2 linked regions of the Saccharomyces cerevisiae S288C genome follow. The protein of the gene in region 2 interacts with the protein of the main gene of each other region in a biochemical or structural test. Each region holds a gene or a part of one and is shown on either strand. Other genes may lie near its edges.

Region 1 (3,448 bases), on a different chromosome or scaffold from region 2:
AGGTGATAATGGCTCGAGGTATGTGTTTGGCCCCACTTCCTGGAAAACTTTATCTTTGTTTGAACAAAATAAGTTTCAAACTGAGTTTCAAAATTTATGGAAAGTCTTGAAACCACTTCCTGAATGCACTAAATCGCAATTAAATGAAAATGATGTTGTAGCAGATTTGCCTAGTTTTCCTCAAATGGAAAGCTGTATTAAATCTTTTTTTGCTGGACCGCTGTTCGGCATATTGCATATCTTCAACCAAGACGATATTCTGTCCCTCTTGGACAGACTTTTTATTAGAGATACCACGGACAAGAACCTAGTCATCCTCCTCGATTTGCAAGGTAATGCAAAAGATAAGTATAATCTTGGCATTGTACTTCAAATTCTTTGCTTGGGCTATTATAACCAAGATATCCCTTCTTCCGTGAGTCATTTCCTTCACACTTTAAGTGCAGCGTCCTTGTCATCATCGAGCTCAAATTTCGTGGAAAAACTACAATTTTTCTTATTGTCCTATATTAGTGTAATGATAAATTGCACGGACGGTGTATGGGATGCGACTCAAGGCGTTGACTTAATCAACGAGCTATGCCAGGGGTGCATAAGTTTGGGTTTAAATGATATTGATAAATGGTATTTGAACGAAAGTGAGGAAACCAAACAAAACTTGAGGTGTATTTGGTTTTGGGCTTTATTCCTTGATGTATCCACCTCATATGATATAGGTAATCCTCCGTCTATTTCAGATGATCTTTTGGACTTAAGTATATTTACTGCGCAGAATTTCCAATCACCGAGTATTGACTTTAGGAGAGTTAAGCTAATGCACGATTTTTTAGATGTTTCCCGATTCACTACTCGTGAAATTCACAAGAGAGAGATGAACGAAAAATTGACCACTTTTTCATTGAGATTGATTGAATTTATACAATCTAACTTTTCACCTATCGAACATTATACAAATTCAGTTTACTACTCTGATATTGATCCCTTTGATATATTGATTTTATCAAGATCTCTAAGTATAGTTGCTAGTATATACAATATTGAGATGATCATCGCTCAACAAAGCAGAATCATAGATAAGAACAGAATGGTTCAGTTCTTGTTGATATCCATATCAGTCTGTGTTAATACAATGGTATTTCATTTTAAAGAGCCTATCAACGACCAGGAGAACGTGTTAACTGAAGGGCTAAAACTGTCTATTATTCTAATCAATCCACTTTTAATACGAATAGTATCGCAAGTGTACAGTTTAGCATTTAATAGGTTAATCTTCAGGGAGAAGGCATTCCTTTTCCTTATTGACCTTGACACTGGGAAAAAAATACAATTCATTAAATATGAAGAAGAAAACTTTGATGAACTTTTGACAGGATTCGATGTTAGGACTGATAAATTTCTGTCATTTTCAGGAACAATAATAAGATTTTACGAAATTATTGATAGCATATTTGCTGTTAATGAAAGAAATAAGCGATTGTTAAAAGCAGTTTCCAATTTTTATCAGTTAACTTCAACTTTGGCGTTTGAACGCGTAAGTAGGGTTTTATTCGATAAAGCGTCCCAAGCAAGAATAGAGACTGAAAAAATTTGGCTGAAAAAGGGCATTAATATGGAGCACTTCAGTGATCTCATGATTGAAGATTTTATTAATGATGTTTGGAAAACGTTCAAAGAGATTTCCAAAGACCTTTGGTCCATTGACAAAAAGAAATTTTATAAACAATATCATTTCGATTTATAAATGTATTTATGATTGATGTATTTTTTTACATGGATTTTTTCGTCCCAAAAAGGGATGATAGTGTTGGCAGCGGGCAAACACAAAATAGTGTCATATAAGTGGAAACCCTATGGAGAATAACCATAACAACGGCCAGATAGGAGGTTAATCTTACACATGTGTGATGGATTCTGAGTTGAAAGGGCAGCAGCTAAGTGATGCAGAATGGTGTGTTAAAAAAATTAATGGTGAGGGAAATTGTCTCCTATTATTTCTACCGATGTCATCTCCAACCACAATTGTAATGATTGTTTTAGTTTCCTTGGAGCGCTTAGTTCCCTACGTTTTCAAACTTTCACAAACTCAATTATCACAGCAATGCCAGAGCCAAGGTTTTACGGATAGTATATCATTAAATCTAATTAAACTAAAACTAATGGACATTCTACAAGCTCCTCAAGAAATTAACCAAATTGGATTGGTAGATTCAAATTTGGTTTTTAGTTTCGATGTATCTGCGGATATTACAGTTTCCATAAATAGCGTACCTTCACATGTTACTAAGGATATGTTCTATATGATTTTGCAAAGTTTATGCATGCTTTTATTAAAATTGGTAAACCTTTCCACCCAATACCACTATGTACAACGGGATATTTTGAATGAAAAGCAAAAATGCTTAGATTTTCTTTTAATTTCTCTTCGTGATTTAGACGGTGGGAGTAAAGTTATCAGTCAATGGGCTCCTGAAAATTCTAAGAATTATGAATCTCTGCAGCAATGCACAGACGATGACATAATCAAAAAATTACTACATAAAGGAAAATTCCAGCATCAAGAATTTCTGGCGGACTCATTAAAAACATTATTATCTTTAAGAAACAAATTTCAAGATGTGTCGCGGTTTGAAGAATCTGGAGAACTTAACAAAAAAGAGCGCGTCAGATTTCCTGCGGTGAATCATTTTTATAATGATGATTTTGAATTGCAAGCAGACCCTACAAATGAGGCTCGACCAAATAGCCGCGGTAAAATTAAACCAAAGACAGATTTCAAGCCAAAATCTAGAGAAAGTAGTACCAGTTCGCAACTTCGCCTGGAGAATTTTTCTGAATCTGAGGCTACACCAGAAAAAACAAAATCAAGTTCTTCTTTGGTCGAAGAATACCCACAGAAAAAAAGAAAATTTGGAAAGGTGAGAATAAAAAACTAAGGCAAGTCAATTAAACGTCAAAAATTAAGGTTGGACCTTTCAAATAGTTCTATTCCTTTGTTGACGCATTGATAATGTTAATTTATTGAATGGTAACGTTATGCCATTGATAGGGAGCATATAAGTTTATATGTATTAGGACAGTTCTAATTGTTTATTATTAATCTAACGGTAGTTTCAAGCAGTATCTTACATCACTGCAGCTTCTGAGTGTCTAAATGATAAACTGCATAAAAAATAGCCGCGCAAGCTCGCCATCACTGTAAATGAAATTTAGACGCAAAACATAACCGCGGATGTAAACTTACTTAATAAGAGCGATTGGCAAAAGAGCCACAAAAAAAAATTGGATCAATATCTGGTGCATGGGTCTAAAAAAATTAAGCAAAACCACAACACCACGCGTTATGACAGCAGTTTTAGAGACTGTTTCTTTCTCTTCTATTGTATGAAGTAATCAGATTATTATATTGAGTAAGTACATGAATGTAATATTTAAATTGTATTTAACGATA
Region 2 (3,597 bases):
CATTTCTACCTTTCTCACTTTTATTTTAGCGGCCGTTTCTGTCACTGCTAGTTCCGATGAAGATATCGCTCAGGTGCCAGCCGAGGCCATTATTGGATACTTGGATTTCGGAGGTGATCATGACATAGCTTTTTTACCATTCAGTAACGCTACCGCCAGTGGGCTATTGTTTATCAACACCACTATTGCTGAGGCGGCTGAAAAAGAGCAAAACACCACTTTGGCGAAAAGAGAGGCTGTTGCCGACGCTTGGCACTGGTTAAATTTGAGACCAGGCCAACCAATGTACAAGAGAGAGGCCAACGCTGATGCTTGGCACTGGTTGCAACTCAAGCCAGGCCAACCAATGTACTGAAAAATGACCCTAAACTACTTCTAAACCCTCTCGATTTCTTTCACGTTCATACAACACCTAGTTTTATTTATTTTCTTTTCAATCTGAGTAGTTGAGTTTTCGATCACTCACATAGAACTATTTTTTGCCATTTAAATAAAGTATTCTCTCAAATGATGCGATACTATAATACTCTTTGCCATATATTACATTCATTCATAAATAGGCTATGTTTCTATATCCGTTTCCGATTCTGTCTGCAAGCAAGGTTCCCTATCATTACCGGATTGTTCACTATGGTTGGAGCTCTTCTTTTCCCCTGCACTTGCATCAGTCTCAGATTCAGAACCAGAAATGTCTCCGTAATCTTCATCCGATCTTCCTGCTGATATTTGAATACCATTGTCTTCTAAAGACACTAAATGTTTTTGAACATCACTGCTACTATCAGATTCAAAACTTATTGATTGTGTGTCATCTCCAAAAGAGGTAATATCATCGTACTTTTCACTGAGTTTATCTTTAGCAGTAATAATTGGCCTTTTAGAAAGTCCGAAAAATTGAAAGTCATCAAAATCGTCGTCTTCCATTTTGATCACGGATTGATTAGATATTTTTCTATTAGCTCTCCTCCGACTTGTGTCTTTCAACTTCTTTTGTAAATTTTGAGGCTCTACTACCGTCTTTCTTCGTTTCATTCTTTTTCCTGGAGAGTTTAACTCAGAAATTGGCTTTTGCACTTCCGTATTAATAAGCGCAGAATCTAAAACATCATCGTCAGACAATTTGATATTATTTTGTCGCAGAATCTCATGAAGCTCTCTTATTTTCTTCTTCTTCTCATTCAACAAGGTTACCATCATTGCTCTGGTTCTTTCATCACGTGTTTCTAAAAGCTTATCCAATAGCTCCCTTTCCCGAGCCAGCTGTTCAACTCGATTTCTATTGCTAGAATCGCTCTCCTTTATATTCCGGTAAGAATCGTTAACACAACAGATATCTTTATAGAGTTTATCTGCCATTTCAAATAAATCAATCTCTCCCTTTTTGACTGGATGCAAGGTAAGTTCAGCGATTTTTCTTATGATCGCCGATGACTCCAACTCCATAACTACTTTCCATACCTCATCATCTTGCATTCTGCACGTCCATTTTGTGAATACGACTTTTTCGTCTAACGATGCAATGTACACTTTGTGACCAGTTAACATTTTGAGTAGTTCATACCACACATATTTCTTAGACTCTTCATCGATATTTTCTCCCGTAAAGATTCGCAAATCATTGATTCCAAAACTGCTTTTGGAAAAAATTCCTGTACCTTCACTTACCAACATTTTCTCTATTCTAAGCCCTGAAAGACTGTTCTCATCTAATGTTTCCAACATAGCGCCATCTTCAATCTGAATCTTACAGAGGCCACGCTCATCTTCTTCATTTTGTTCTTCATTAACCACAGGGATACAGCTAATGAACTCCGTCAGCTGGGACATAGCACCCTACATAAATAAGTCATCCAATGCACAATTCTCTCAGTTCTATGCATTGACACGTCGAAAACTGCCGTTCATCTTATTATTCTTTAATATGGCTTTTCAAAATACGCTTCCGGGTACTTTTTCGGATTCATTAATGGTGTAATTAGTAATGCGTAGAAATATTTTGTATATAATAATAAATAACATGTTTGTCCAACAACTCGTAGGCTAGGCTAAACGTGAAGTCTTTCTGTTTTTGAGAACAACAGTATACATAAGTGATATCCAAGAATGACTGAGATACTACCACATGTAAACGACGAAGTGCTACCAGCAGAGTATGAACTTAATCAGCCGGAACCAGAACACTGTCCTGGTCCAGAATCAGACATGGCAGGTAAGTCCGATGCTTGTGGTGGCTGCGCCAATAAAGAAATATGTGAAAGTCTTCCGAAAGGCCCTGATCCAGATATTCCATTGATCACAGATAACTTGTCAGGAATAGAACATAAAATATTGGTTTTATCAGGCAAAGGTGGCGTAGGCAAGTCGACATTTGCCGCAATGCTAAGTTGGGCACTTTCAGCTGACGAAGATTTACAAGTAGGTGCCATGGATTTAGATATATGTGGACCTTCTTTGCCACATATGTTAGGCTGCATTAAAGAAACCGTCCATGAATCGAACTCCGGTTGGACACCTGTCTATGTGACTGATAATTTAGCCACCATGTCTATTCAATATATGCTTCCAGAAGACGATTCCGCCATTATATGGAGGGGTTCAAAAAAGAATTTATTGATAAAAAAATTTTTAAAGGATGTTGATTGGGATAAACTCGATTACTTGGTAATCGACACACCGCCCGGAACATCTGATGAGCACATTTCAATAAACAAGTATATGAGAGAATCTGGCATAGATGGTGCCCTTGTGGTCACCACACCTCAGGAAGTAGCTTTATTAGATGTACGGAAAGAGATAGATTTCTGTAAGAAGGCTGGTATCAATATTCTTGGACTAGTGGAAAATATGAGCGGATTTGTATGTCCAAATTGCAAAGGAGAGTCCCAAATATTCAAGGCTACCACAGGTGGAGGTGAAGCACTTTGTAAGGAATTGGGCATCAAATTTTTGGGGTCTGTTCCGTTAGATCCGAGGATTGGCAAGAGTTGTGACATGGGTGAAAGTTTCCTGGATAACTATCCTGACAGCCCAGCTTCGAGTGCTGTACTTAACGTTGTGGAGGCTCTGCGAGATGCTGTGGGGGATGTATAGTATATTTTATCAAAAAGAATAAAAGGAAGTGCATTAGAGGTCAAATCGTTTTATAATATAAATATCATTACCTTTAAATCTTAGACCTACTGAAGAACACTTTTACCATATATAATGCTACTAATTACTCCAAAAGCGTTAGCTTCAGTCCATGTTTTACTATTTTTCTTTTTTTTAGAAATAAAAATAAAAAAACTTATATCTTATATGTACACTTCATTAAATCCTGGGCAAACTCACCCCTCAAGTATGCCTTTTCTGGCTGCCCTAGGGGGAGCTCAAGCAATTTGGCCTTCGAATCGCCTATTGAAGGATTGTTTTTCTCCAATATTTTTGATACAATCTCTTGGGACATAACATTACAACATGCGGCCACTTCACGACAGTGCTTATACTGATCATAAAATATCTTCATACCACTAATTAATGAATCGATAGTCTCCTGCGTTTCAACATTATCCAACACAAGCTTTAGATATACTTCAAATACGTTTATACTTACACTCC

What was found. The genes of interacting proteins can lie anywhere in the genome.
Region 1: the proteins of LIF1 (region 2) and NEJ1 form a complex in vitro, tested with the Saccharomyces cerevisiae proteins (2 studies listed by BioGRID).

What each region holds. Positions count from the first base shown.
Region 1 is NC_001144.5:673,912-677,359, reverse strand, and holds NEJ1 (Nej1p), read left to right. Parts: upstream 1-1,904; coding exon 1,905-2,933; downstream 2,934-3,448. Other genes in the region: PDR8 (Pdr8p), read left to right, coding at 1-1,741; YLR264C-A (uncharacterized protein), read left to right, coding at 3,416-3,448. UniProt on the Saccharomyces cerevisiae protein: Involved in non-homologous end joining (NHEJ). Facilitates the transport of LIF1 into the nucleus, where it can interact with DNA ligase DNL4 to repair double-strand breaks (DSB). Mediates mating-type regulation of NHEJ.
Region 2 is NC_001139.9:341,549-345,145, reverse strand, and holds LIF1 (Lif1p), read right to left. Parts: upstream 1,828-3,597; coding exon 562-1,827; downstream 1-561. Other genes in the region: MF(ALPHA)2 (Mf(Alpha)2p), read left to right, coding at 1-355; NBP35 (Fe-S cluster-binding ATPase), read left to right, coding at 2,104-3,090; nucleocytoplasmic transporter NUP145, read right to left, coding at 3,287-3,597. UniProt on the Saccharomyces cerevisiae protein: Involved in non-homologous repair of DNA double-strand breaks. Stabilizes DNL4.